Linked DNA regions of Arabidopsis thaliana. The protein of the gene in region 4 interacts with the protein of the main gene of each other region in a pairwise test. Each region holds a gene or a part of one and is shown on either strand. Other genes may lie near its edges.

Region 1 (6,549 bases), 6.3 Mb from region 4:
CTTGGTCGGGTCTTCAACAAAGGAACCAGAATTAGCATCTGAAAAAAACAAAAACAGGTTGTTAGATTCTGTTAAAGCGGTTGTTACAACTACTCCAATGAGCAGTCCTGAGGTTGAGACATCATTCACAGGAACAGAAGCTTGGACTTCATCAGTATCTAGCTCTGACCTCGGTACATCATCGCCAGTTTTCACAGCTGAAGTGAGAAAGGATGAAACTTTGGTCGTCAAAGAGAATGAATCTGATTCTGATTCAGAGAGCGAAAATCTATCACTACCTTCCTTAAGTAAGAGATTCCAACCATGGATATCAGAATATCTTAGCACTCATTGCGTCTCGATGCAGGAATCAACGAGAGGCGATGATAAGGCTGTTCAAGTATCTACTAAAAAGGCTTTGCTTGAGAAAATTTCTAAGCTTGATGAAGGAGAAGAAGCAGCTATGTCAAGTAAAAGGAAAGACTTGGAGGAGTATAGTGGAACCTTAAGAGCGTTATCACGAAATGCTCCTCCTGTTTCACCTCCTCTCTGTTCTATATGCCAGCACAAAGCGCCTGTATTTGGAAAACCACCGAGGTTTTTCTCCTACAAAGAGTTAGAGCTTGCAACAAACGGGTTTTCGCGAGCTAATTTTTTGGCAGAAGGTGGATTTGGATCTGTTCATAGAGGTGTATTACCTGAAGGCCAGATTGTAGCAGTAAAGCAACACAAAGTGGCCAGTACACAAGGAGATGTAGAGTTTTGCTCTGAAGTAGAAGTTTTGAGCTGTGCTCAGCATCGAAACGTAGTTATGTTAATCGGTTTCTGCATCGAAGATACCAGAAGACTCTTGGTCTATGAATACATATGCAATGGATCATTAGACTCTCATCTATACGGTAAATAGAGTTTCCAAGTTAGTTAAAGATGTTGTTAACCTAAAAAACACTTAACTAGAGTTATCTAACTAACTTTCATGAAATGTCCATTTAGGTCGCCATAAGGACACTTTGGGATGGCCTGCAAGACAAAAAATAGCGGTTGGAGCGGCTCGAGGTCTTCGATATCTTCATGAAGAGTGTAGAGTAGGTTGCATTGTTCACCGAGACATGAGGCCTAACAATATACTAATTACTCATGATTATGAACCACTGGTATTTATATTTTCTTGAACCACAATTTACACTTTTTTATACATTCGTTTGATTCTGTTTTTGTTTCTCTTTCAGGTTGGAGATTTTGGTTTAGCAAGATGGCAGCCTGATGGAGAGCTAGGTGTAGACACGCGTGTGATAGGAACTTTCGGGTAACAAAATTTATAACTAAATCATCATTCTCACTCTAGAGTAATTTCTCAACTACTTTCTGTGTTTCTTGTTTTAGCTATTTAGCTCCAGAGTATGCTCAAAGTGGACAAATCACAGAGAAAGCCGATGTTTACTCGTTCGGGGTTGTATTGATCGAACTAATCACGGGTCGTAAAGCAATGGATATCTACAGACCAAAGGGACAACAATGTTTAACTGAATGGGTAAATCCATAAGTTTCTTCTTTTTAAGGTTTCTTAGCTCATTTTCAGTCTCTTCTTGTAAATGAAATCTAAAAGTTTCTTTCTTGAAGCTCATTTTGTTATTTTATTTTCTTTGTGAGCAGGCAAGATCTTTATTAGAAGAGTATGCGGTTGAGGAATTAGTTGATCCGAGGCTCGAAAAGCGATATTCAGAAACACAAGTCATTTGCATGATTCATACAGCTTCATTGTGTATACGTAGAGATCCACATTTGCGTCCTCGCATGTCTCAGGTAAAGAAAAGATTCACCATTCTTGAAACATGTTCATTTCTTTAAGTCAATAAAACTCTCTCAAGTGTGTCTGCTCTTTTGCTTGTTGTTGAAGGTGTTGCGTTTATTGGAAGGAGATATGTTAATGAATGAAATCTCAGGGAGGTTTAATGGAAGACTATCCACTGAGAAAGGTCTCAGAGATCATAACTAAAAGCTCAACTAGCCAATCTGATCACTTTCTTTTGGTATAGTGCGTAGGATCAATAGAAGAATTTTGTAAAATCAAAGTCCTCTTAATTGACAATTATGGTTTTTTAGTAGCTTTATCCAAAGTGATTAGTGTTTGTAGTGCTAATCATGTAATAACGTAATTAACCAACAAAACATACTCAAAAATTGTACTGTTGTCAACAAATTGAACAAAGTAGAAGAACATGTCAAGTTTTCTCAAATCGCACCAAACTCAGTAACATACAAAAAAAAAAAACAAATTTTTGGATTTACGACGAAGGGTATGACATCAGCCCTGAAGCTTCAGTAACCGCCGCAGCTTCTTCATCAAGAAACAAATTATCACTTCTTCTAACCGCCGCATGAATCAGAACCAACACGGCGGCGGTTAACAAAGATCCCAGAATATTCGAAGTAGCGTGAGTCAACAAAAGCATCACAACCGTCAAAACCGATAAACCAATAAGAACCGTCCGATCATCAATCTGATAACCAAAAACAACAAGAGGCTCGTCACGGAGGAAATAGAGAAAGATCCAGAAGACGACCAAGATTGATAACACGATCAACGAGGTTGGGTGATATAGAAGGCTTAGGAAGAGGATGAAGAGAACTCCGATGGCGTAATTAGCTCTGAAATAGCCGAGATTCGTTTTGATCCTCGAGATCGCGTCGAAGAAACCGTGAGGGAGAGTCATTGATTCGAAATCGAACATTGATTTCCATGGGCGGCGCGTAGCTAGACCGGATTTTATACGGTGTTTGGCGCGTGAGATGTATTCGAGATCTATCGCCGGTGATGGATGAGACGACGTCGGAATCGCCCCGTAGTTCGTCATTTTTGGAGAAGAGAGACACGAAGCTTTTTTTTTTGTTGGTTGTAATAATTTATAAATTGCTCAGTGTCCCTATGGATTAGGTGATGGTGCTAATGTAAATGTCACATATGGATAAAAGTTGTTACATGCCCAATAAATACATAAATGCTTTATATTGTAATAATTTTTTATTTGTTTTGCAACTGTACATTTATGGTAACAATATTGGTATTATATGTGTTTAACAGTCAGCATCATAGAGACATATTCTTAGGAAAATGTACAGCATATTATATTCTCTGTCATTTTCAAAACATAAATCTGATTAATTACTTGTAAACAGCATAATTTTATTCATTAGAAGGATTAATTTTTTTTTCCGGCAGAATAAAAATTTCATATTATTAGTTCACCAAAGAAACTGCGACCGAGTGGTTTCTTTGGCAGCGCTTTGTTGCTGCACGTGGCTTATCCCCACAAATATTTACAAACTCCACCAGATATTTTCATGCTTTCACATTTTAGTCCCAACCTTTTGTTTGAATACCATCTAACACTTTGCTTTTTAAAATTCCTATTTTTAAAAACCGAAGTCGAATGCTTGATTTGTATTCAAAGACACTTCACCTTCGATTTTGTCATCTATATGGTTGAATGTTTTCTTTAAGATTGTCCATGGAGAATCCTACAAGTTTCACCAAAAACATTAACAAATACATATACATATATGGATGGACATAACCTTGTGCATTCTGTAATTGACCAGCTTCAAACACATACTTGACAATTCACAGAAAATTATCTCTCATTCTCTTAAAGATACATTTTGAATAAAGAGAAGATGGAGCTTGAAGAACAGAAGAAGTACTTTCATGGAACACTAGAGATTACAATCTTCGATGCAACACCTTTTTCTCCTCCATTTCCTTTCAATGTAAGTCTATATCATATACTGAATTAGTGACTCTGATGATGTTATCATTGTGTTCATTTTCATGAGCTTTTGTTATCTTTGTTCACAGTGTATATGTACAAAGCCAAAAGCAGCTTACGTGACCATCAAGATAAACAAGAAGAAAGTTGCTAAAACAAGCTCAGAATACGACCGTATTTGGAATCAGACTTTTCAGATCCTCTGCGCTCACCCGGTTACTGACACGACTATCACCATCACGCTCAAGACTCGATGTTCTGTTCTCGGAAGATTCCGAATCTCTGCAGAACAGATCCTGACATCTAATTCAGCAGTTATCAACGGGTTCTTCCCTCTGATTGCAGACAATGGGTCAACGAAACGTAACTTGAAGCTTAAGTGTTTGATGTGGTTCAGACCGGCTTATCTTGAACCGGGATGGTGCAGAGCGCTTGAAGAAGCGTCTTTTCAAGGTATTAGGAACGCAAGCTTCCCTCAAAGATCGAACTGCAGAGTCGTACTGTATCAAGATGCACACCACAAGGCCACATTTGATCCAAGGGTTGATGATGTTCCTTTTAATGCAAGGAATCTATGGGAAGATGTTTACAAAGCGATCGAAAGTGCTAGGCACTTGGTTTACATTGCAGGATGGGCACTAAACCCTAATCTTGTTCTTGTACGCGACAACGAAACTGAGATTCCACATGCGGTTGGAGTAACGGTTGGCGAGCTTCTGAAACGGAAATCAGAGGAAGGTGTAGCGGTGAGAGTAATGTTGTGGAACGACGAGACGTCTTTACCAATGATCAAGAACAAAGGTGTAATGAGAACAAACGTCGAAAGAGCTCTTGCTTACTTCAGAAACACAAACGTTGTTTGTAGATTGTGTCCAAGATTGCACAAAAAGCTCCCTACAGCGTTTGCACACCACCAAAAGACAATAACACTGGATACACGGGTGACAAATTCAAGCACGAAGGAGCGAGAGATCATGAGCTTCCTTGGCGGGTTTGACCTTTGCGATGGTCGATATGACACTGAGGAGCATTCACTGTTTCGTACACTCGGAACAGAAGCTGATTTTTACCAGACAAGTGTAGCTGGAGCTAAGCTAAGTAGAGGCGGACCAAGAGAGCCATGGCATGATTGCCATGTGTCCGTGGTTGGAGGAGCGGCTTGGGATGTCCTGAAGAACTTCGAACAGCGATGGACGAAACAGTGTAACCCTTCCGTGTTGGTTAACACTTCAGGGATCAGAAACTTAGTAAACCTAACCGGACCTACTGAGGAAAATAACAGGAAATGGAATGTTCAAGTTCTGAGATCGATAGATCACATATCGGCAACAGAGATGCCAAGAGGTTTGCCGGTAGAGAAGAGTGTACACGATGGCTATGTCGCAGCAATTCGAAAGGCTGAGAGGTTTATCTACATCGAGAATCAGTATTTCATGGGAAGCTGTGATCATTGGGAGAGCAAGAACGATAAGTACGAAATTTCTCTTAACGAAGCTATTAAATATCCATTGGGAGATTCTGATCTATTTTAGTATTTCTTTTTTTGATGGATAGAATCTGCAGCGGATGCACAAACTTGATACCTGTCGAAATAGCGTTAAAGATTGCTGCTAAGATACGTGCAAGGGAGAGATTTGCTGTGTATATAGTCATACCGATGTGGCCGGAAGGGCCACCGGAGAGTGAAACGGTTGAAGAGATACTTCATTGGACGAGAGAGACGATGTCAATGATGTATCAGATCATTGGAGAGGCGATATGGGAAGTTGGAGACAAGTCGCATCCGAGGGATTATCTAAACTTCTTCTGTCTTGCAAACAGAGAAGAGAAGAGAGATGGGGAGTTTGAAGCAGTTTCGTCGCCCCACCAGAAAACGCATTACTGGAATGCGCAGAGGAATCGGAGATTCATGGTCTATGTCCACTCCAAGCTCATGATAGGTAACAAACAATCCGCAATTCACAATCTGAAATGAAAATATATTGAAGATTCGTTAAACTTTCACAAACTTTCACTTAAGATTTAAATTACAGAGATTGTCATATGTTTGTAGTGGACGACACATACATTTTGATAGGATCAGCCAATATAAACCAGAGATCAATGGATGGTTGTCGGGACACCGAGATTGCAATAGGTTGCTACCAAACCAATACCAACAACACCAACGAAATCCAAGCTTACCGGTTATCGCTCTGGTATGAGCATACCGGTGGCAAGATCACGGCAGATGACTTATCATCGTCAGAGCCAGAGAGTCTTGAATGTGTCCGAGGGTTACGGACAATAGGAGAGCAAATGTGGGAGATTTACAGTGGAGACAAGGTCGTAGACATGCTCGGTATCCATTTGGTCGCCTATCCAATTAGTGTGACAGGAGATGGTGCAGTTGAGGAAGTCGGTGACGGTTGCTTTCCTGATACCAAGACCTTGGTGAAAGGAAAGAGGTCCAAGATGTTTCCTCCTGTTCTAACCACCTGAAAAAATGTCCGAATCAGAATCATTCTTAGATCATAACTTGCAATACATATATATAAATAACATTCAGCCTGTTAATTATGATGAAATACGCATATAAATGTTTGATTATGAGAGGATGTATTTAGTGGTTAACACACTTACTGGTTTCTGTTATAACCATTCCGGTCCCTTTGTCGTTTCCAACTTGTAGATGAATGGTCTTTTCAAGCTTTGTCGCCTGTAACAAGGAGAAGAATAATCAAAACCTGTATATACATGAAACGAGCAGTTTTCAACAGCTAATATTTATGCAAAGCATACAATGCTACGTGACTTAGCAGAC
Region 2 (7,717 bases), on a different chromosome or scaffold from region 4:
AGGTTCCCTTGAAGATGATTCATGGCATCAGTAGCTTGCTCGATTTCCTGCAATTGGTGAGAGTGGGTATATAGACTACAAAGACAAAATCAAAAGCATGTATAACAACTTATACCTCAAAATCAGCAAATGCAACCGGCATTCCGCCTCTAGCTCGGATTTTTAAAATGTGGAAACCAGGATATCTGTAAGCAAATGGATCAGATCAATCGACTTTCGGAAAGGCAAAAACCAATGATTGTTTGAAGAAACATTCAAACCCTAATGCTGTAGGTTTCAGTCATTGTACAAGGTTACCTAGATAGGAGTTGTTTGAGTTCATCTTCTGTACAATTAGGCCCTAGATTAGCTATAAACAAGGTCGAACAAGCTCGAGCACCAGAACCTCCTTCAGATGCTTTCTCTAAGTGCCCCTGTAGAAATCTATCAGTAAGCTACTGAACCATAAGGAAGTCTATATGGAAGTATCTTACAGTAAGTAACAAATAAGATTTTATTAATCTTCAACGAACTTGAGAAATAGAGATATCTCAACTGGTTAAAAAGATTAGATTTTTGGCTTGGACTTACATTAGCAGATGGTGCTTTACTATCTGGCTCAGAATCCGCTTCGCTGTAAATTTGCAAAGAAATCAGAATACATTAGTCTTCTTCTTTTGACCTAAAAAACTACAAAACCAAGCTTCTAATTGTCATTTTCAACCTTTTGGTAGTATCGTTTTCCTTTGGAGAATCGCTATTTCCAGGTTCCTGCACCTCATCTGGATCGCTATCCCCTAGATGCATCAACAATGATCAAGCAGAAACATAAAGCATTCATACATTTAAATAATTAGGAGTCCACAAGGTAACCAGAACATTACCTTCATCACTCTGGTCATCCTGAGACTTAGAAATTTCCTTGTTTCTGTTATCAATCACAACATAAGGTCCACTTCCTATCCACATAGACTGTTCATTACTCATTGATCGATTTACCAACCACACTAACTCAATAGTAAGAAGAGAGTAAAGTCTAGAAAATACCTGGCCTTTCTTTTCTTCTAGAGTTTGATCTAGCTAGTTCTATATGTAGATTTGATCCTGTTTGAGGATCAAATTTCACACCCTAAAAGAAATGCTTCACCACAATCAAATAACACAATGTAACAATAGAGTCACACAATTCGATCAAAGTGAATCTTACATTTAGCTCATTCATTGCAGCCAAGGCGAATCTATGACTCGTGAATGTTGCAAATGCCACAACCTGAAGATAGGTAACTTCAGAAAGCTTAAACATCGATAGAATCACAAAGTATACAGCTTTTCTAAAAATGGGAATAAAAAAAAACAGAAATTGGAGATTTTTACAAACCTGGTCACCGCGTCCAGTGTACTTGAGCTGACAAGATTCGAATCCATGACGACGACGGAAGAGATTGTGGATCTCACGAGCCTTAACGTCATTAGGCAAGCCAGAGACAAAGAGAGTGTTAATCGCCCCAGGTTCGTCGGCGAGCAGTGGCAGCTGCGGCGGAAGATGATGAGGATGAGAATGAAGTTGATAGACGTAGAAAGGATCGTACGGTTGGTGATACGCCATTTTCCTCTAGCCGGCGGCGAGGTTGACGGTTGTATTAAGCGCCGGCGAAGAGAGCTGACGTGTAAATGGAAGTGTGAGACACACTGTTTAAATGTAAAAATATGTTCCTTTTTGAATTTTATGGGCTGATACTATTGGGCCTTAATGAATGGCCCAATAAGGCGCCAAAAAGTGATAAAAGTAAGCAGCCCGCCAAAAACAAGAAGCGAAGACTTTGACATTATTAAGTTTGTTCATACTTCAAAACTTAAAAACAGAGAGAGAATCAAACCAAACTTACACGGTTACACCATAAACTATAATTACACATAAGATGATCAAAAACAATAGAATATACATAAAAATGGAGATCAATCGTTTTAAGACGAAGGGTGTGACGTCAGTCCTGAAGTCTCAGTCGTCGCCGCTTCTTCATCCAAAAAAAGATCATCCGTCTTCCTAATCACCGCATGGATCAGAACCAACACAGCTCCGGCCATCAACGCCGCAACAATATTAAACGTCGCGTTGGTCAATAGAAGTAGAACGATGGTAATCACCGATAGACCAATCAAGACCGCACGATCGTCGATTTGAAACCTGAACACCTTGAGAGGCACATCACGGAGAAAATAAAGGAAGATCCATAGGAAAACCAAACCGGTAAAGACGATGAGCGAGGTCGGATGCCAAATCAAGCTGAAGAATATGACGTTCAAGATTACGATTGCGTAATTACTACGGAAGTAAGCAAGATTTGTCTTGATTCTTGAGAAAACATCGGAGACGCCGTGAGGTAGTCCCGTGGAGTGTAAATCGAACATCACCCTCCAGGAGCGGCGCGTGGCTAGTCCGTCTTTGATACGTTGCTTAGCGCGTGAGATAGACTCGTGATTCACTGCCGGAGATGCATGAGACGACGTGGTAATCTCGTCGTTGTTCGCCATTAGTGAATAAGATGACTTGATTGAAATAATGTAAAACTGTTCTGATTTATTGTTTTATCTCTCTGTGTATAATATATGAAGAAGGTCTCTTGAATTTGCATATGGAATAAAACCAAATAAATTAGATGGTGTGTTAAAACATTAGACCGAGTTTTTTTCCGTAGAAATTTTGTGATATTATTACAATAATGTAGCGTGATGTTATATATATATAAAAGGATGTAGCGTTATGATCTGATTCAATTTGGTCAATGTCTGAAAGTCGATCGAGTTCCTGGAATATGAAGTTGGAAGAATTAAATAGAAAAACTTGGTCTGCCACGTCCAGTGTACTTGAGTCTTGAGTGGATAAGATTATGGGGATGAGGATGATGTCGATAGACGTAGTTAAGATCGTAATGTTGGTGATACGCCACTTTAAACCGGTTTGCTTCTAATTGGCGGCAAGTGTGGCGGTGGTATTAAGCGCCGGCGAAGGGAGCTGACGCGTACAAAGATGTGTATGCTCAATACTGTTAGACCATCTCCATCAGTAAGGAAAGTTTTTCAAAAAATTAAAATATTAATATTTTAATTAAGACAGATATATTAATTGTTATTTAATAGTTAAACTAATAATAGGATAACAGCTGTCCAAATTGAATGAGAATAGTTTCTCAAAGTTTCTCCTCCAAGAAACTTAATTCTCCTTCTCTCCTACTTTTTCTTCCTTCTCTCTTACTTTTTCCTTTTTTATTATATTTTTTTTATTGGGTATCTCATTGAAAGACTACTGATGAAGATGCTCTTACATATCTAATGGCGTCCGTTTAGAATTACATGGGCTAGAATATTTGTGCCTTTTGAAAGACCTAATTATATATAAGGATTTTTGCTTCAAATCTTTACATTGGAAATTTGAATAAGGCCTGCATATATATCAAGGATTTTTGCTTCAAATTGCTCATTTGTGTGACCCAAATGAAAAAAGAACTTAAATCAAGACCAAACTTTTTTTCCTACTTTGAAGGTGAACCAACCTGAATAAACTTTACAACAAAAATTGATTATTTTTTTGTTACGGAATGCAAAAAGGGAATATTCATTACAACCCATTTTGAATTTATAATGTTTGACTTATTAATTTGATTATTTATTATGTATTTCAGATTAAATCATTTTAAATATTTCAGATTAATAAATCATTCCAAGAAATTATTCCTGAGTTTTGCGAATATAAAATACTCCCTCCGTCCCACTAAGATGAATTTTTTAGAAATTGCACATTTTTTAAGAAATATTGTATAAACATAATTTTAACCTCTTAATATATTTTAAAAATAATAATAAATATTTATCTAATTATTTAGTAAGGGTAAAACGGGAAAACAATTTTAAAATTTGCATTGCAAATATAAAATTTCTATCTTTGTAAGACAAATATTTTTCCTAAAAAATTTATCTTTTATGGACAGAGGGAGTAATAAAAATTATAACAAATTAGAATTGTTCAAACTTCAGACAGAGCTCAAAACTCAGAAAACAAAAGAGAGAGAGAAAGTCTCAAACCAAACTCACACCAATAAAAATTGATTACGCATAATTAAAAAAACAAGATAATATACAAAAATAGAAAAGATACACAAATTTCGAGATGAAACGATTTAAGTCGACGGGTATGACGTCAGCCCAGAAGTCTCAGTCGTCGCCGCTTCTTCATCCAAGAAAAGATCCTCCGTCTTCCTAACCACCGAATGGATCAAAACCAACACAGCTCCGGTCACAAGCGCTCCAACAATATTAAACGTCGCGTTGGTCAACAGGAGTAAAACGACGGTTAACACCGATAAAACAATCAAGACCGTCCGATCATCGATCTGAAACCGGAACAGCTTGATAGGCTCATCACGGAGAAAATACAGAAAGATCCAAACAACGACCAAGACGGTGAAGACGATGAGCGATGTCGGATGCCAGATCAAGCTGAAGAAGATAACGATCAAGACAACGATTGCGTAGTTCATACGGAAGTAAGCAAGATTGGTCTTGATTCTTGTGAACGCATCGGAGACACCGTGAGGCAGTCCCATGGAGTGGAAATCGAACATCACTCTCCAAGCACGGCGCGTGGCTAGCCCGGCTTTGATACGGTGTTTAGCGCGTGAGAGAGACTCGACATCCACCAACGGAGATGCATGAGACGACGTCGGAATCGCACCGTAGTTCGTCATTAGTAATATCGGGTTATGGTTTAGCGCGTGTGAGATTGAATAGAGAAAGTAAATGAAAAGACTGTTTGTTATGTGTATATATGAATTCTGAAAGGTCCCAAGAATTAGGTGATACACATTTGCATATGGCGTTTTCTAAACTAATCTATGTTTATGAAATAAAACAAAATTTAATTAGATCGTGTTTTAAAAAGATTACAATATAGTGTAACGTGAGGATTTGATTCACTACTTGGTCAATGTCTGAAAAGTATAAGTTTTAGATACTCGAGATTTGGGTAACAGCAATTTATAAGTAGATGAATTACTACATGTTGAAGGACTATATAGTTAATTTGAAAGACTAATGATAAAGTAAGAGACACGGTGTCACCGAGCGAGAGTGGCATTATTGAATAGTCGATACAGGCTACACGTGACCCCATTTTAGAGGAGTCTCTCTGGCATATAACTACTCTTTCGCCACGTGTAATGTCGGCAGGAACAATGAGTAAATTATTTATAGTCTCCCTCGGACTTTATCATGATTTTTAGTCAGCCCAATTACAAAAGATATTGGCCCAATACAACGAAGGTTTCATGTCACATGCTCTCTCTCCATTGGACGATCCACATCGATAGGCTTCTTTAGCGAGCCAGACTCATGGCTGCTTTAGAATTGATCCCGCTCTGTGAAACAAGAAAATAGTTAGCTTGTGTCAAAGCACAATACATATAAGATCAAAACTATACCAAAATGTATGATGGATTACAAAAATCTTAAGTTTTTCTCCATAAGAACCAGAGAAACCTATTCAACAAGATTGCTTAAATCAAAGGTATATTATATAATGTAGCTTTCGTTACAAGTAAGCAGAGAAGCAAATACATATATGTAAATCAAGTAGTACCAGATCCACATCACCTATTTTCAAAATAATTCTACATTTTTGTATATCTCAAGGTCTTCCAACAGTCTCTAGTGTCTGCCGCAGCAAACAAAGGTTCTCTCACGACTGTTCAGGGAGACTAATTAATCCCAATAGATGGGGGATATGTTTCACTGTTACCATTACCAATCTTATATGATCACCACCCACTAGAACTAAATGGTGATATACTCATTATATACTCTTATTGTTCCAATGGTTAGTGATCATACAAGATTCGTGATTGTAAAACGTATCCGCCATCTCTTGGATTAGTATCTCTGAAATTGTCTACTTACATGAAAAAAAAAGTTAGTGTTCTCCATGGCCATGCAAACTTCACCAAAAAAAAGCTATAACAACGGAATTTCGGGCTGGACTTATCATCAGCCAAACGAGAAATAACTAACAATAAATGAAAATCAAGGTCTTGAAAAACTCAAAATAGGGAATAAAAACAAGAAAAGGCTCAACGGCGGCGATAACATAAGAAATACCTATTTGCCTAAACAGTTGCCCGTCTTTGCCAATATATAGGCTTTTCTATTATGCAACTTTTGGGCCTTTAACAGGCTTAACGGATGGATCTCTTAAAAGTGAAGCCCTCTTATCCAAATCAATTCTAAAGGCTATTGTGTTAACATAAACAACTCGTAGTTACAATAGTGAGAAAAATGTAATATAGTACAATTAGTGGTTAGATCTGGTTGTTAGTGATGTTCAGTTGAAACAACACAACTTTCTTGTCTTGTCACGTTGTTTAAATCAATTTCAGTGGGTTGTTATGTTAATTACATCATATCATATAAGTGGAGGAGAAATAATATGACTTTGCTTAATCATTCATTATTACATCTAAAACTATTAGAGACTATTCAGAAAAGAGAAAACCATCACCCAGTTAAAAATTAAAAAAATAACTAGTAACTGTAAAATTGCTTAGGAAGCGTTGGCGTAAGCTAATGCTTCTCTGGATCCGTTAATGTCTTCAAAAATTTCCTAAATCTATTGTAGCTTTGTTTTTACTTTTTTTGCCAAAGTTGCTTTTGTACTGGTTTTCTTTGTAACGCCACAACTTCATTATTAATGATATTAACATATTTAGCAAAAAAACTGTAAAATTGCTTGAAATAGATGTAGACTATCATAATATCTTTATTAGACCATTCTTTTGGAAATATATAAATGATTGAACCAGAATTATAACTTTTCTGTAATGATTTTCTTAGTTAATAATTTAATATACGAAGAGGAATAGTCGTCCTTAACATTTAAAAAAAAAAAAGAGAGAGAGGAAATAGTCATGAAAATTAGGATTCTATATCATATGCATAATTATCATACACCTTTGTACTTCAAAAAAAAAATATATATATATATATATATATACGGTCAACAAAAAGGTTTTGTGATTCTGTCCTTATTTGCCTTGTGAAGGAATACGACAAAATAGTTGGCATGTGTGCTATCGTCTTCCACACGTGTGAATCATTTTTTGTCTCCAAACTCCATCATGTTCTCTTTTTTTCTTACCTTTTGCTGTCTCACTATCTTTTTCACTTCCCACTTACAAAACACTCGTGTGACTTCTTTAACCTTTTAGAGTTTGATAATGCAAAACTGATTCTCCATTTTTCACTTAAGAAAAATGATTTATATTCTTTTGATCCAAATGGGTAATTTGTTCTTCATATGCACCGTTGGGAAGTTTATGATTGTGTCTTCTTCTGCTATCCATCTGCATATCATAATCACCAACATATTTTCAAATAAGTCTCTGTATATCGTTTAAGAGTTAAGTCCAACTTGTCAAAAAGAGATTAGACATTTAGATTTATTTGGTCCGAACGTACCATTTTGTCTAAAGTGTAGAGCACTAATTACCACACCCTCTTGTTTGTTTTGAAATTTAAAGATTACAACAAATATTAAATAATTTTGTATCCATGTAACTGATAGTTACCTGAAGCGAGTGACAAGATGGTGAAGAAAAACTGAAGTTTCAAGACGAGCCAAATCGAGACCAGGGCACAATCTCTGACCACCTCCAAAAGGACTGAAACTACTCGTGTTCATGTCCCTTTCCTA
Region 3 (9,790 bases), 9.6 Mb from region 4:
GAGACGGTATATCCCCGTAGCTCTTTCACGTTTAATAAAGCATTGAATTGGAGCATCTCTAGGTCCAGGCTAAGCCAAACAAAACCAATGTTTTAGACACAATGATAATCGATTATAAGACAAACTGGTCAAGAGTAACAAACCTGTCTTAAAGAAATCGGAAACGTGATCAAACCAGAGAGCTCAGGAACTTTAACAACTTCTTTAGTCATCTCCCTCCATGACTTACAAACCGAAGCACAAGCAACAACATCTCTCCTCCCCGGCCATAAACTCTGTTCAGACTCAATCCTTTGGATTATATCAAGAAGTAACTCTGGAGGCAAATCAACCCAAATACTCTGGTTTAAACCTTCATTAGTTGATAAAGAAGAAGACACAGATGATCCTTCTGGTGCAATGTGTGACCTCCCTCTTCTACCAATAGCTTTGTATTTGTTCTTCACTATGTTCTTCAATGACATTGCTACTCTGCTACAAACAAAACTATTATAATTTCTGTAATTGAGAGTTTGAGAGACCAAATCAAAAACCCTAATTTGTACCTGATTTTATCTGCTCCCCCAGAAATTTCCCAGCTCCGTTTTGGCTGATGATGAACAAAGTAAATCAACAGAAATGTCTCAGTATTCACCAAAGAGAAACTTTATTCATTGGAGAAAGCAAAATCATGAAAAGAGCATGGATCCGGCTTCTCCGGCAATATCGTGAAGAGTTCGAGAAAGTTTTAAATAAACAAAACATCGAGAAACGAGAAAGAGAGGAAGAGAGAATTATTGTTACCAACAAAAGCGACAAATCCATGGGGAAGCACAATTATATTTCTGCAGATGAGATAAGTTTTTGGATTCTTCTTCTTCCGATGAAGACGAAGAAGAAGAAGAAAAATTCAGCGAGGAATTTGAAATTAAAAGCCTTCTCTTCTCGAAAATGTTAAGTTAAATGAACCACCAACACCAACACCTCTCCGATGCCGTTACTGTCGCCGTCGTGAGCTTCGATTCCGAAGAGGAGAGGAAGGAGGAAGACGACAGTAACCGCAATGATTTCGAGGAGGAAGAAGAAAAAGAGAAGACAGATGGGTTTTTTTCTTTTAATTAGTAAAACGGAAAAAGACTAAGCGCGGCTCATGTTTTTCAATTGAAATTAGTAAATTACTCAAAATAGGATTTTTTTTTTGTAAAACTATTTATTAGCTGATAATTTTTGCTTTTTTGAGAGTTAATTACAACTGGATTTTTTTAAAATTTTATTAATTGGCACGAAATATGATATTTGAAGGTGTATTTTAAATTTTTAGTAAATTTACAAAGAAATTAATAATAAGAAATATTACGTATCAGGTTATTTTATTGTGTATGTTAAATTGAATTATATGTAACTAAGTAAATACAAGAATTTGATGTTGTTTTTTTTTTTGCCAAAAGGTGTTGTTATTTATATGAAATATTGTACAAACATCCATGATACAGAGATGATATTACACATTACAAAGACGTCTATATAAAAAGATTGAACATGAACTTTTAAAAGACTGAATCAAGGTTCATGTACAAAACAGAAGGATCAGGATGCTAGAAGATCAACTACCAAAGGAGAAGGTAGAAGCCCTGGCAGCAGTGTTGAAAGACAAACATCTTGACTTCTCAATAAGAACAGGAAACGAAAACTAAGTTTCGCATCTGAACTTATAGCTTCCATCTTATGCTTATGTCAAGAGAGCTTCTTACTTACCAACGTATCAACCAACCATAAGTAGTAGTAGAAGATTGAAACCGTCCTATAAACCCTTCAAGTTTATACCCATCAAACTGCAACACTTAAAACTAAAAAGGACAGTAACTCGAAACAATCCAAGATAGATTGTTCAGCCAAAAGCAGTAAACACTAAAAGGAGTTATGATTCCTAAGCAGCTATAGACATTCCAAAAAAACAAACCTTACCCCAAAAAGTTGAATTCACAGAGTATAAGGGTAGATTATACTCACATTTGTAGACACAATTTTTCGAGATCTTATCCTCACAATGAAAACAAAAAAACTCATAGCATACTCTAAGTATCATGCAAATATTTTATTAGTCGGTGGCATCAAACCACCTAAGGCTCAAAATATCCCCTCTAGTAACCAACTTTCGTTACAAATTTCAGGATTAAGGCTCCAACTCGGAAAGAGCATATTCGATGTTCTCTTCAGCTCGCGACACATATATCGATTCCACCTCACAAATCACTCAAACCGAGCTCATCTCATGATGCATAAGTTGGGTTTACTTCGCAATCACTTGAACTAAGTCCTTCTCACGGCGTATTTGTCAGGTCACCTCGCAACTACTTAATCCAAATTCATATCCAACAGCATTACAAGAATATTAGTCTTCAAGCAAATAACCTTACTCAAAGAACTCAAGCTTATGTTGATACCGGATCGCGCACGACAAATCCATCTTACGCATCCAAGTTCCATCACTTTACAGAGCAAAGAATGTACATCTTGCATAAGAAAGGTGGTTAAATCTTGATATTAATTTGTGATTAAATTTATGAATTAATGGTCATGGTTTAAGGAGTAAACTTGCCATTCAAGTTTACGAATTAATTATGAGAGTTATTTTATGAGCTAGATATGTACCTAATGGCCAAATAAAGATACATAGGAGGAAGGAAAAGACTATAAAGAGAGGTGGAGACCCTAAGAAAAGAGACTCCATCTTTTTTTTTGTAAAATGGTTTTCAATGTTATAAATAAGGTCCAATGGACTATTTCCGGATTTAGGCTCATACATTTTCCCTTAGACTCAATCCACTTACATATAACCAGACTAAACCATCTATTACAAAACCGATCTAAACCGAAAGTTGAAAATCCTAATCTCATATCGTAAAACACGATCTGAGCCGCCGTCCAAGAATTGCAGAATCTCACCGGAACAGAAACCCTTTGGGGAGCCTAGACGAGATTCGTCGAACGGAGATGGTAATTCAGGATCCGTTGTCCTCCTGCCACCGTAGAGCAGTTTTGAGGAGGAAGAGGCGATCCGGGTTGCCATAGTCATGAATCTCATAGCTCAGTCGAGAGAGTTGACGGCAGTAGTGAGTAGATCTCAAGACCATCGACGGTGGTAAAGCCTCACCGAAGCGGAGTCGACCTCCCCCATCAAGCGGCGACCCAATGAAACCTCCAGAATCTTTAGACTTCCGACCTAACCGCCGTCAGCCCTTGTTCTTCACTGTGAAGTCTCATCCTTCCTCTCCGTGAAGCCACACCACCGATATAGCTCTTACCGACAGTGTCTCGCATAATCTTCTCCCCTCCACCAGGGCCAACTCAATATATTCTCTGTCACTGTACAAATTTTCAAATTTAGCCCTTTTATACTAAATATTTTGAGTTTGGCCCTTACATTTAGTTAAAATTTTATTATGGCCCTCAGATTTAGTCAAAATTATCTTTTTGACCTCAAATTTGATAAATTTTTTTATTTTACCCTTTAATTTTGATCAAATAATTTTTGGATCCTGTGCAATTGCTCCTCTTGCACTCCCCTAATGCCGCATTTGCCCTCCACTGCTCCCTTGATTTTGAATAGATTGAATTGCCGAGAAGATGTAGCGGATCACGGTTGAAGCACCATGTCCCAATGGGTTTCTTCGTCGCTGGAGTCAACGAAAAAACTTATTGACGGAACAAGAGATTGTGATTATAAGAAGAAAAAAATTTGAGAGAGAAATCGCCCACGCGTAAATATCACTTGCCCGACTTCTTTCTAGTATAACTCCAAGAAAAACACCCAAGAAACTCCATCTTCTACATTCTTGACCCCATTTTAGATACAAACAATGTTTTTTCCAATCCTTATACTAAAAACTATTTCTTTGCTTTATGCAATACTTCCAATATCCAATGCACAATATAAGCTAATATCTCTATTTTTATCTCTTTATTTTCTTTGCTAAATTATATTAATTATTTTACTCATTTTTGTGTTTGTCTCCTGAAAGCTTTGTTCCATCTCCTTACATTGCAAAACGAATCTATCCGGATTTTGTATTCACAATCTCTGTAAGTCCAACCAATAAATTTCGGTTTGGTTTAGCTTACCAGTTACCACTCCATACTCTAAAAATTTAGAGGTCAACAAAATAAACGAACTCACTCGAGTTAAAAAAAAAAATCCTCCCATCAATACGCCTCCATAAACCTCTCTCTATCTGGTGGAGCGACACCAAAAACAACAAAGCCTTCTCATTTTCACACTTTGGGTAATCGGAGAATCACAAAAAAATGGGAACCCTAGGACGAGCAATTTACACTGTGGGTAACTGGATTCGTGGAACTGGTCAAGCTCTTGATCGCGTTGGTTCTCTTCTTCAAGGAAGTCACCGTATCGAGGAACATCGTAAGCTTCCAGATCCTTCCACTTAATACTCTCTATTGAAACCCTAGATCCAATTCGTTATCTCTAATTTGTGTCTTCACCTTTGATTGGAGAAATTTGTGGCTTAGATTGAAAAAATTTGATTCGAGAAATTTGTGTTTGTTTTCAGTGTCGAGGCATCGGACGTTGATGAATGTGTTTGATAAATCACCATTGGTGGATAAAGATGTGTTTGTGGCTCCGAGTGCTTCTGTTATTGGTGATGTTCAGATCGGAAAAGGCTCGTCGATTTGGTATGGCTGTGTTCTTCGAGGTGAGGCTTTATTACTTCTAGAAAGTCTTAATGGCCTTTGGTTCGATAGAAGTACCAAATTTTGCAGCAGTATATTGTGCAAAGTAGTCATAGTTTAGTTTTAGGAAATGAAGTTCTCTTTACCTTCTAATAATCTTGTATCGCTGTTATACGTTACTGTCCTGATCATTGGACATAGATTTATTGTACTGTCGATAAAATGTGTCATGAAGTAGCTGTGAAACTTATTGTATGTTAATCTGGGTTTCTAACTTGTGCAGGTGATGTGAATAACATCAGTGTTGGATCTGGGACGAATATCCAAGATAATACGCTTGTACATGTTGCAAAGACCAACATAAGTGGCAAGGTTCTACCTACTCTGATTGGGGACAATGTAACAGTAGGTAAACCTTAAAAAGCGATTTATCAGTTTTGAAGTATCTGTTTTTATGTTGTGTTACACGATTGTTAGTTAAAGGTTTTGTTTGTAAAATGAAACGGAGCAGGTCACAGTGCTGTCATTCATGGGTGTACTGTTGAGGATGATGCTTTTGTTGGTATGGGAGCAACACTACTTGATGGTGTGGTGGTTGAGAAACATGCCATGGTTGCTGCTGGTTCTCTTGTGAAACAGAACACGCGAATCCCTTCTGGAGAGGTTTCTTTCTTTCCACTTTATCTTTTCTGGTTTACTGCTTACGGAGTTTGTGATAAGACTGGAACTGGAAACTGCTTTATTTCTCACTAAACTGAACGAGAAAATCCAAAGTATCAAGAACCAAAAATAGAACTCTAGCTAGGTTTACTTATCACGGACCCTGAAGCTCTACCAAGCCTAATAACGAACTGCTAATTAACCAAGTAATAGCAGCTGTAGTCTGCTGCATTTAGTCCTACGCTGACCTGTAGCTAAGGCTTGACCAGCTGAACTTCTTCAAGTAGATCCACTTTTGCTTTGCTTACAATTTAGTTGATACAGAATTAGTTAATGAAATGATATGCCTGTAAATTGTATTATATTTTGATCAAAAAGAAGAGTAAATAGTATTTATATATCGTCTAAATCTGAGAACCACCTTTGTTTCCGTTGCAATTCTACTTGTATATGAAACAAGGGTGAGTTGGGAGTAACAGAGGGTTCTTGTGTTTCCAATGTTTTATGAGGAATTAGACGGATTTCTTATATCGCTATGCTTTTGAACTACTTTCTTCAACCGTCAACCTGAGAATATATTTACAAGGACATATCTATAAGTTATCAGTTTCATGTGGCAGGTGTGGGGAGGAAATCCAGCAAAGTTCATGAGAAAGTTAACAGATGAAGAGATAGTATACATCTCACAGTCAGCAAAGAATTACATCAATCTCGCACAGATTCACGCCTCAGAGAATTCAAAGTCATTTGAGCAGATCGAGGTTGAGAGAGCGCTTAGGAAGAAGTATGCACGCAAGGACGAGGATTACGATTCAATGCTTGGGATTACCCGTGAAACTCCACCGGAGTTGATTCTTCCCGACAATGTCTTACCAGGTGGTAAACCCGTCGCCAAGGTTCCGTCTACTCAGTACTTCTAATTCCAATCTCAGGTTGTTTTTGTGTGTTGAAATCATTTCAAGACAGGATTGATTCTCTGGAAGGTCAAGAGAGATATTATTTTGGTTTTAACTTTTCTTCCGAGCAAGCAGGAGATTTATCATCCTTGCTCAATAATGTATGGTTGCATTATGAAGTCATTTCTTCGAGGAACAATTTGCAGAAAGAGAAACAAAGTTGGATTAATCTTTCATTCTTTCTCTCGCTGTTTCTCTCATTCAAAATGGTGTCTGTTTGATACACTCTCTAGGTTGGCGATTCGCCGATTATTATTATCATGTGACAGATTTGACTTAAGTAGGACTAAACATAAGCTAGTGGCACTCAATAACTCCTTGTTCCAAGCTGTTAAATAAACAAAGCCGAATAAAAACCACAATTGTACTTGGAAGTTGGAACATATCAAAGAGCTACACACAAGAAAATTGGTTAGAAAATCCAACTTTGAACTCATTCCCTCTTGCTCAAATTTCCATTGGTGCAACATCTTGATCACCTGAACCACCTTGTTCACCAGTTCCAGCAGCACCAGGAGCAGCTTCGGGTTCGGCCTCACCCTCACCAGCATCTTCCTCTTCCTCAGGAACCTTCTCAAACGTATCAATCACCTTTTGAATGCTTTCCTGGTCCAAGAAATGGAATGGTTCATCGACTCCTAGAACAGAAACAGTGCAGAGCGAGCTCTTCAGTGTTTCCCCTTGCAAAGTTTCCCTTATGGCCATAATAGCATCTTTTATCAGATCTTCTTTTGATGATTCTTGGAAGCTCTCGAATTTGCGCTCCAGATAGGTTTTCGCAGCTTGTGAACGAGACCCGATAGCGAATGCTTGATATTCAAAGTAGTTTCCGCTAGGGCAGTTGTAGTAGAGGTGAGCTCCTGACTCGTCCAATCCACCTACCAGCAAACCCACACCATAAGGCCGTTTCCATGATCGTTGGGTACATACCTGCTCAAAGATAATTTATGAAGATGTTTAATACAAGACAAACAAATGACTTAACATTTGAATGAAATCAGAGTGTTGTTCAAACTACAAGACTGATATCAATACGTTCTCAGAAATCAATTGAAAATGTAGATACAGCAGCTAACTTAATTTTTGACAGACATGAAAGTAAGTGGGACGTAGCAATCAAACCTTTTAAAAATTGTGAACACATCATCTAACTTGAGAACACTACGTTTAACACCAAAAGTAGTGAACATGTAGCACAAATTTCTATCACAACTGTAAACCAACATCTTACTGAAAATATACTTCATTAGGCAAGTAAATAAAGTGGCCAGGACATACTACAACTACAAGTAAGTAAACAAATGCAAAGTAATACAAGTCAAAACCACAAAACCAAAAAGAGATCAACAAAGACGTATATTTATTCTAGAATTGCAAGCAAAAACAACTCTATCAAGCAAAGAGAACAGACGATGACAACACAGAAACAACCAAACGACCAAAATCATCACATTCTTATACACTTCTATCGTCAAAGTGGGTATACAGGTTAACTCTTTCTAATCGGATTAAGCAACTAGCAACAGAACTGGATATGATTAACAACACAAGAATCTCTAATTCCCAATCACTAAGACTTGATCACAAACCAATATCACTACTTGCATAACAACACACACATTCTACAAATAAAATTGGCCACATTGCTAATAAAAACCTAAACTTTACTCCAATTACATAAAGCTTCAAACTTTCAGATACTCACACATCATAAAACTAAACCCTTTAGCAAATTCTAGGTCAAAATTCAAAAGTTAACCCAAAAATCTCAATTTACCTGAGCTTTATCAGCAAGATGAACAACAAGACGACCAACAGGAAGAGGAGACTCATAAGTAAAAGAGTGATTAATAGACTCAGATCTCATATATCGAGAGAGAACACGACCATCAGCAGTGAGACCAGCAATAGCAACACCAATATGATCATCGACTTTAAAGATCTTCCTTTGATGAGAAGAGAGCTCTGATTGTGCTTTGTTGACACAAGCGAGGACGACATGAGAGCGAGATCTGAGTCCTATTGCTGCGGAGCCTTGTTTCACAGCTTCCATGGCGTATTCGACTTGGAATAGTCGACCTGTGGGACTCCATGTTGTCACATCTGTGTCGTACTGGTTCCTGAACATCTTTCTTCTTCTTGTTCCTCTGTTCTTCAAAAGCTTTTCGTTTGCTTCAAGCTAGAGGAGGATGGTCTCTCTTATAGAGCTTAGAAGAAGAAAGTAAAGATTGTCAAAAAAAAGAGAAAGAAGACAGTAGAGTAAAATGGGCTTATGAAACTTAATGGGCTGGGTTTAATTATCCATTACTCTTTATTATTTTTTACACATTTAAAAGGATTATAATTTTATAAATAAATACTTAGCATTATATTATTTCTTTTTATAGTAATTAATTTAATTCATAATTTAACATTTGCAGTTTCAATTGGTTTTACATTATTTATTTACACATTTTTCACTACACTGATTATAAATTTACTATTCCCTCTGATCCTAAAACAATGATATTTTGGATTTTTCACAAATTAAAAAAAATAACTTTTATATTATTTTTATTGTTTTTTCTTACTGCAAACTATGTTTTAATCTATGAATGTAGATCATTACAGAGAAGGTTTTTGAACCAAATTGGCTCGTTCCTAAAGTCTGCTTTGAACACAGAAATCGTAAAAATTGGGGAAGCAAAATAGTCCGCTTAAAACACAAAAATCGTAAAATTAGGAAAACTAAATGGTGAGCTATACTATTACAAAGACGTTTTGTGAAAGTAAATACAATAGATGAAAATCTGAAGACCAATACTCTAAATCTAGAAGTAAATTAGCAATTTTACTTCTATTAGACTTGCCATTGATGGTTTTAATGAGGACTTCGCAATCTCTTTGGAATTGTACTTTCTTGTATTTTTGTATCCAAATTTGTTGCATCGCCACAAGTAACGCTTTCGTCTCAGCCTTTAGGAGAGTGTTGACATGATCTAAAATTGAAGATCCTCATGTGTTTGCTATCCCTTCATGGTCTCGTATAATCCATCCACCCGTACTTTAAGTACTATTCCTGTGTAAGTCCGCATCGAAATTGCACTTGACAAAAGAAACTGTCGGTTTTCTCCATGAAGTATTTTCCGATGATGGTGCTCTTGTTGTAGTAGTTTTTTCTTGCCTCCCTCTCGTGTTTATAATTCATTTATTATTTTTTTAATTAATTTAATAATATCAGTTCTACTTTTTTTCCTTTCTCTATTGATCACTAATGAAAATAATATTAATTTAAAACATCAACTTTTGTGAAACAAAAGTAAAATTTAAAACATCAAACTTCATGGACTAGAGGGAATTACAAGTTATTGTATTTTATTATTTCTAATTTTATGAAAATTAATAATTTAGCATGTGTAGTTTAAATTGGTTTGGAATAAAATTAATTTAGAAATCTAAACAAATAAAGTCACATGTTATTAGATTTTTAATTTGATATTTTGTTTTTGATAAAATCTTGTATTATT
Region 4 (7,040 bases):
ATTTTGTTTGGAAACTAGCCCCAATGGGCCTTGTAAACAGTTGGGCCAATGTGGGCCTTAGGAGAAAGGCTCATAAATTCAGTAACCGACAAGCAAATTTGGCATGGAGTTGTCTTCACTCTTCATCTTCAGAGTCTCGTACTCTTGTTGCGTTTTTTCGCGCGCATTCTTCCGCTTTGCTTTGTTGTTCCAATATCTCTCTCTTACCTCTGTTTCGTTATTCTCAATCATATAGGTTCTGCTATGTATATACTCTCAGCTCTTAGGGTTCAAATGTGTATATAGTATGGTTCAGCAATCAGCACACCACGTGTTCGATGATATGCTTCAATGAAGTTTTCTCAACTTGTAGTCTTATTCTGCTTTGATCTCAAGTAGAGAAGCATATTTTTTGTTGTGGAGCTCGAATATGGCGCGTTGGGCATGGTGTTGTTAGACAGAGTATATGCCGTATATTCTTGGAGGTCTCACCATAGCCGACATTGTCAAGTTTATTCCCAGATTATGGAAAAAGTCGCAGTCTTGTTCCAAGAACTTTCCAAACCCACATTGAACCAATGCTGAGTGAGAGTCTTTTCAAATCTCTTGGACATTTGGCCAGCCACGGTCATTTGCACGACGCTTTCAAAACGTTTTCTCTTCTTCGTCTTCAATCTTCTTCTGCAGTTTCAGATGACCTCGTTTTGCATTCCGCGGCTTCCCTTTTATCCGCTTGCGTTGATGTTCGTGCATTTTTAGCAGGGGTGCAAGTTCACGCTCACTGTATTTCGTCGGGTGTCGAATATCACTCTGTGTTAGTCCCAAAGCTGGTTACCTTTTACTCTGCTTTCAATCTCCACAATGAAGCTCAATCGATTATTGAGAACTCTGACATTTTGCATCCCTTACCTTGGAATGTGCTCATTGCTTCGTATGCCAAGAACGAGCTTTTTGAGGAGGTTATTGCTGCTTACAAGAGAATGGTGAGCAAGGGAATCCGACCCGATGCCTTCACTTATCCGTCTGTTCTTAAGGCTTGTGGTGAAACACTTGACGTTGCCTTTGGAAGGGTGGTTCATGGTTCCATCGAGGTTAGCTCTTACAAGTCCAGCTTGTATGTTTGTAATGCATTGATCTCTATGTATAAAAGGTTTAGAAATATGGGTATTGCTCGGAGGTTGTTTGATCGAATGTTTGAAAGGGATGCTGTCTCATGGAATGCAGTGATAAACTGTTATGCTTCGGAAGGCATGTGGAGTGAAGCGTTTGAGCTTTTCGATAAAATGTGGTTTTCAGGTGTTGAGGTCAGTGTCATAACTTGGAATATTATTTCTGGAGGTTGTTTGCAAACAGGAAATTATGTAGGAGCTTTGGGTTTGATCTCTAGGATGAGAAATTTTCCTACGAGCTTAGATCCTGTGGCTATGATTATTGGTTTGAAGGCTTGCTCTCTCATAGGAGCAATACGATTGGGAAAAGAGATTCACGGTCTTGCTATTCACAGTTCTTATGATGGGATTGACAATGTTCGAAACACGTTGATCACAATGTACTCAAAATGCAAAGACCTTAGGCACGCCTTAATAGTGTTTCGACAGACTGAAGAAAATAGTTTGTGTACTTGGAACTCTATCATTTCCGGTTATGCGCAGCTGAACAAATCAGAAGAAGCCTCTCACCTGCTGAGGGAGATGTTGGTTGCTGGCTTTCAGCCAAATTCCATTACACTAGCAAGCATTCTCCCTCTTTGTGCTCGGATTGCAAACCTGCAACATGGAAAAGAGTTTCATTGCTACATCCTGAGGCGCAAGTGCTTCAAGGACTATACAATGCTGTGGAACTCCCTTGTTGATGTTTATGCAAAATCGGGAAAGATTGTAGCTGCAAAGCAAGTATCTGATTTGATGAGCAAAAGAGACGAAGTAACATACACTTCCTTGATAGATGGATACGGAAATCAAGGTGAAGGGGGAGTAGCCTTGGCCCTGTTCAAGGAGATGACCAGATCTGGTATTAAACCTGACCATGTAACCGTGGTTGCAGTTCTATCAGCCTGCAGTCATTCCAAGTTAGTCCATGAAGGTGAAAGGCTGTTTATGAAGATGCAGTGTGAGTATGGTATACGTCCTTGTCTTCAACATTTTTCTTGTATGGTTGATCTCTATGGCAGAGCAGGTTTCCTAGCAAAAGCCAAAGACATAATTCACAATATGCCATATAAGCCATCCGGTGCCACGTGGGCTACCCTACTGAACGCGTGTCACATCCATGGGAACACACAGATTGGTAAATGGGCAGCAGAAAAGCTCCTGGAGATGAAGCCAGAGAACCCGGGATACTACGTGTTAATTGCAAATATGTATGCAGCTGCTGGTTCTTGGAGCAAGCTTGCTGAAGTGAGGACTATAATGAGGGACTTGGGTGTGAAAAAGGATCCTGGCTGTGCTTGGATCGACACAGATTCTGGATTTTCACTGTTTTCGGTGGGGGACACATCAAGCCCTGAAGCATGTAATACTTATCCTCTATTAGATGGACTGAATCAGCTGATGAAAGACAATGCTGGTTATGCCATCAATAAGGTGCAAAGTTCAGATGAAGAACTTCTTCAAGAAATGGGATGAAGGTGAAGAGCTGAGGATGATCAACTGGAGCTTTATTTAGTTAATAGCACATAGTCTATATACGCCTGCATATCACCAGACTGAGAACAAGTTGGATACACATGACAAGTTCTAGTATATACATTAACTAAAATTGGACAATGGTGGGGATTGCTGCGGAAGTATTTTTCCTATATAACACAAAGAAAACTTATATTGTGAGCTGATTCACTTCATCGAGCAAGAGCTTTGTAATGCCATCAGAATTGGTCGGCCAGTTGAGGAAATTTCTGCAGCAGCCAGGTAACTCCCTTTATAGCAGCCTGAATACACAAAATGCAAAAGCTGTTAAATCTTCATTACCTCTGCAATTTCAAACACATCCACACAATCAAAATTGATAGTAGCTCATGTTACCAGAACTGTTTCTCCAGGTTTGATTGCAGGCTCAACGCAGTCTCTTCCATATCTGCAAACAAAACAGAGAAGAAATGTTTATCCCAGCAAGACAAAAATTGGCATCTCTGTCAGTCTACACGATCTGTCGAGAAAAGTGTGCTTACACGATCTGTCTCTTCCCATCAATCACCTCTAACCGGTAAAAGCTGCAACCTTTGCTAAATGGGAAGTTCTTTCCTTTCCATTCTGTCAAAAATCTCCAATTTACGACTTATCATTAGAGAAACATAGACGACTAAATCATAAAGAGTCTGTTAAAAACTAACCTAAATGCCATGAAACTCCAACAGCTGAAGAGTCTTCTGTTGAGATATCATCTATCACGAATTGGAGATCCGTACTTGTTGATTCAATGAATTTTCCGAAGAAATCAAGAATTGCCTGTCATGGCTTTATCAAAATTAGGCTCTGAGACACAACAAAGTCTGAAAAGAAGAGACTTTGGTTTATTAGAATAATAATCGTTTCACCTTTCGGCCAACAAAGGGAGATGAGAAGACGAGATCCTCGTAGACGCAGTCCTGAGCGATGAGGTCTGTGACAGAGGATAAATCATGGACGTTAACGGCGGCGTAGAAGCTGGAGACGACCTCCGACGCTGATGTCGGAGCTGTTTCTGGAACAACGTCGTTGGCTGTAGCAGCTTTTGCAGCTGGACCATAGGATGCGGACAATCTCGGAGGCTGTGAATGAGTGAGGCTTGTTGGCTTGACAAGTTTGGTTGGGAGGAAGAAGGAAGGAGGAAGATGGTTGAGCGAGACGAGTGAGGGAGACGTCAAATAAGAGACGAGAGAAGCAGTGAAGCTCATCGTCGTTTCTTGATATGATGTCTTCGTTTTTGTGGCTCATTTGTGTTTGTGATTAAGAGAGCAAAGAGTTGAATTTTGAATTTCAATTGGAATTTGTGGACAGAAATTCTTATTAGTAGTCCCTATGATTATCGATGCCATGTGGATACTGTAACAATCAATAGAAGTATACTCCAATCCTCTTTCCTATTAATTGATGATTTTTCTATCATCATTTCATCTTATTTGTTTGTGAAATGATACTTTTAATTTAGTTGTGAAATGAGATTTTATAATTTTTCGAAATATAAGACTAGGTAATGCGTAGCAGAACAGAAAAGTAAAGAAAAATATGTGTTGGTGGATAAAAAGTTGAATTGTTTTTCATAATTTTTAGATCAATGATATATTTTCAGTAAATTCTTGTTCATCGGTTCTCAAATCTACATAAAGAGAGAAGCTAAGCAAACATTTAACCCTATTTTTTAGATTTTGTTTTTTCACTCCTGAACATATAATGAATAAAGAGATGGTTATGAAAGACGTTTATAATAATCTTTAAAAAAAGAGAAAAAAATCGAATCCTTCATAAATCTTTTACATTCATAGATGGAACACAATAATTATAACATAAATAAAAACGAGAAAATCAAACTCAAGCCATGCACGTCACTATCGAAAAGTTCTCACAAAAACAACAACTCCAAAACATCAGCCATGAAGCGATATTTGTTGATGAGATGCTCTATCTCCTTGATAAACAAAACCTCACATTTTTCATTCAATTCTTTGGCCTTATTATCTCCAATAAGCTTACCTTTCTCCAAAATATACTCTTCAGAAATAAATTCTTTGACCATCTCCTTACTTAAAAACATCTTCAAAGATGGATACCGAGCCCAAAACTCATCTTTAATACCATTAGCCTCAGTTTCTGTAACAACTATTGACATAAGATTTTTTTTTAAGAAAGTATTAAAGATACGATACAAAAACTATCTTAATCACTTTTAAGATTTTTATATCAACGTAATAATCTTGAAACCTCACAGTCAAACAGAACATGAACATGCAAAGTATTTCTTAACAAACGCTCCAACTTCTTTACAGTGGAAACATGTGAAATGGTGAAGTGAAAAATCTGAAATAAAATAGAGAGTGATGCATGCATGTACCTCCATTGTTGTTTTCAGAGTCTGATGGTTCGTCTTCCATTGAGTCGTCGTCTTCCGATGAGTTGGAAACTTGGGAGTCGCTGAGTTCTTCTTCGGATGATTCAGGTTTAGGTGGAGAGTTGATCGTAACCGGCACCATCGTCGTTAAGATTAAGTTCGAAGAGACTAGATAAAGTTTCTAAAGAGAGAGATAGAATCGGACAAACAAAGAGTCGATATGTGAACAAGTAGAAACATGATGTTTATTTATACAGTATCGTCGGGAAAACGAAGAGTCAATTACTTTATTTAACTGAATATTTTTAGTGACAAAAATATGAAACGTTTTTTTTGTAACTTGTCCAAGTTGACATGAATTGTTTTTAAACGAGGAAGATTGAAGCAACCACCAAAATAAAAGCCAATAAATTCTAAATACATGCTTTTTTTAAAAACGAAACCGTGTGTGAACTGATGGGCTACAATTGTTTTGGGGGCCCTAAGCCCATATTTCAATTTTCTGGCCCAAATATTAGCTTTCAATTTCAATTGCATACTTTATAAAAATAGTTTAAAGCTACATATAAATACTAACGACCTTTAGCTTAATCAAGTGGTTAGTGGTCACAATGGAAGTAGTGTCGTCTCTCGGAATCCGAGACCTCCCGGCGTCCCTCTCCGTGACGACGAGTCTCAACCACCGTCCTCATCGTTCCGATAAAGATGGCGCTCCGGCGAAATCTCCGATTAGACCAAGCAGAACTAGACGACCTTCCACTTCTCCCGCCAAAAAGCCGAAACCTTTTAGGGAAAGAGATGCTTTCCCTTCTTCTCTTCCTCTCCACTCCAAGAACCCCTACATTATCCACAGAGATATTCAAATTTTTGCGAGGCAGAACAATCTCGAAGTCGCTCTCACGATTCTTGATTATCTCGAACAGAGAGGGATTCCTGTAAATGCGACAACTTTCTCTGCTCTTTTAGAGGCGTGTGTTCGCCGGAAGTCGTTGCTTCACGGTAAACAAGTCCATGTTCATATACGTATTAATGGGTTGGAGAGTAATGAGTTTCTAAGGACCAAGCTTGTTCATATGTATACTGCTTGTGGTTCGGTTAAAGATGCACAGAAGGTGTTCGATGAAAGTACTAGCTCAAATGTTTACTCTTGGAATGCGTTGCTTAGAGGGACTGTTATATCAGGGAAGAAGCGGTATCAAGATGTTCTTTCTACGTTTACAGAAATGAGAGAGCTTGGTGTTGATTTGAATGTTTATAGTTTATCTAATGTGTTTAAGAGTTTTGCTGGTGCATCTGCTTTGAGACAGGGATTGAAGACGCATGCACTTGCGATTAAGAATGGTTTGTTTAATAGTGTCTTTCTTAAGACTTCTCTTGTTGATATGTATTTTAAGTGTGGTAAAGTAGGGCTTGCACGTCGAGTTTTTGATGAGATTGTAGAGAGAGATATAGTTGTTTGGGGGGCGATGATTGCTGGATTGGCTCACAATAAAAGGCAGTGGGAAGCGTTGGGACTGTTTAGGACGATGATTAGTGAAGAAAAGATATATCCAAACTCAGTTATACTTACAACGATTCTTCCCGTACTTGGGGATGTTAAGGCACTGAAACTGGGGAAGGAGGTCCATGCCCATGTATTGAAATCGAAGAATTACGTGGAACAGCCGTTTGTTCACTCTGGTTTGATTGATTTATACTGCAAGTGTGGGGATATGGCTTCTGGGAGACGTGTGTTCTATGGATCCAAACAGAGGAATGCCATATCTTGGACTGCATTGATGTCTGGATACGCAGCCAACGGTAGATTTGATCAAGCTTTGAGGTCGATTGTTTGGATGCAGCAGGAAGGTTTTAGGCCAGATGTTGTTACAATTGCTACTGTTCTTCCTGTTTGCGCAGAGCTGAGGGCTATAAAGCAAGGAAAGGAGATTCATTGTTATGCTTTAAAGAATCTCTTCTTGCCGAATGTATCCCTGGTCACTTCCTTGATGGTGATGTACTCAAAGTGCGGTGTTCCAGAGTATCCTATCAGACTGTTT

What was found.
Region 1: the proteins of AT1G71480 (region 4) and PRA7 interact in a two-hybrid assay, tested with the Arabidopsis thaliana proteins (one large-scale study listed by BioGRID).
Region 2: the proteins of AT1G71480 (region 4) and PRA8 interact in a two-hybrid assay, tested with the Arabidopsis thaliana proteins (one large-scale study listed by BioGRID).
Region 3: the proteins of AT1G71480 (region 4) and GAMMA CA2 interact in a two-hybrid assay, tested with the Arabidopsis thaliana proteins (one large-scale study listed by BioGRID).

What each region holds. Positions count from the first base shown.
Region 1 is NC_003070.9:20,584,735-20,591,283, reverse strand, and holds PRA7 (PRA1 (Prenylated rab acceptor) family protein), read right to left. Parts: upstream 2,888-6,549; 5' UTR 2,835-2,887; coding exon 2,265-2,834; 3' UTR 2,085-2,264; downstream 1-2,084. Other genes in the region: AT1G55200 (kinase with adenine nucleotide alpha hydrolases-like domain-containing protein), read left to right, coding at 1-878, 973-1,133, 1,209-1,285, 1,363-1,510, 1,633-1,782, 1,877-1,975; PLDEPSILON (phospholipase D alpha 4), read left to right, coding at 3,655-3,747, 3,836-5,217, 5,301-5,686, 5,800-6,227.
Region 2 is NC_003074.8:4,491,048-4,498,764, forward strand, and holds PRA8 (PRA1 (Prenylated rab acceptor) family protein), read right to left. Parts: upstream 5,754-7,717; 5' UTR 4,722-5,753; coding exon 4,155-4,721; 3' UTR 3,932-4,154; downstream 1-3,931. Other genes in the region: AT3G13700 (RNA-binding (RRM/RBD/RNP motifs) family protein), read right to left, coding at 1-47, 116-185, 298-413, 571-613, 704-776, 864-938, 1,027-1,108, 1,187-1,249 and 1 more; PRA1.F4 (prenylated RAB acceptor 1.F4), read right to left, coding at 1,945-2,511; CYP90D1 (cytochrome P450, family 90, subfamily D, polypeptide 1), read right to left, coding at 7,283-7,367, 7,593-7,714. UniProt on the Arabidopsis thaliana protein: May be involved in both secretory and endocytic intracellular trafficking in the endosomal/prevacuolar compartments.
Region 3 is NC_003070.9:17,317,842-17,327,631, reverse strand, and holds GAMMA CA2 (gamma carbonic anhydrase 2), read left to right. Parts: upstream 1-4,147; 5' UTR 4,148-4,284; coding exon 4,285-4,399; intron 4,400-4,547; coding exon 4,548-4,691; intron 4,692-4,951; coding exon 4,952-5,077; intron 5,078-5,179; coding exon 5,180-5,331; intron 5,332-5,948; coding exon 5,949-6,248; 3' UTR 6,249-6,731; coding exon of another isoform or gene 6,732-7,214; 3' UTR 7,215-8,061; downstream 8,062-9,790. Other genes in the region: TLP6 (tubby like protein 6), read right to left, coding at 1-69, 144-474, 546-589, 784-804; AT1G47265 (uncharacterized protein), read right to left, coding at 2,834-3,064; PAF2 (20S proteasome alpha subunit F2), read right to left, coding at 6,732-7,214, 8,062-8,412. UniProt on the Arabidopsis thaliana protein: Enzyme involved in the catabolism of H(2)CO(3) but that does not mediates the reversible hydration of carbon dioxide. Mediates complex I assembly in mitochondria and respiration. Binds HCO(3)-.
Region 4 is NC_003070.9:26,928,889-26,935,928, reverse strand, and holds AT1G71480 (Nuclear transport factor 2 (NTF2) family protein), read right to left. Parts: upstream 4,078-7,040; 5' UTR 3,851-4,077; coding exon 3,512-3,850; exon of another isoform or gene 3,462-3,511; intron 3,423-3,461; coding exon 3,308-3,422; coding exon of another isoform or gene 3,303-3,307; intron 3,228-3,302; coding exon 3,146-3,227; coding exon of another isoform or gene 3,142-3,145; intron 3,052-3,141; coding exon 3,000-3,051; exon of another isoform or gene 2,906-2,999; coding exon 2,843-2,905; 3' UTR 2,616-2,842; downstream 1-2,615. Other genes in the region: AT1G71490 (Tetratricopeptide repeat (TPR)-like superfamily protein), read left to right, coding at 558-2,603; AT1G71470 (uncharacterized protein), read right to left, coding at 4,516-4,772, 5,005-5,143; AT1G71460 (Pentatricopeptide repeat (PPR-like) superfamily protein), read left to right, coding at 5,613-7,040.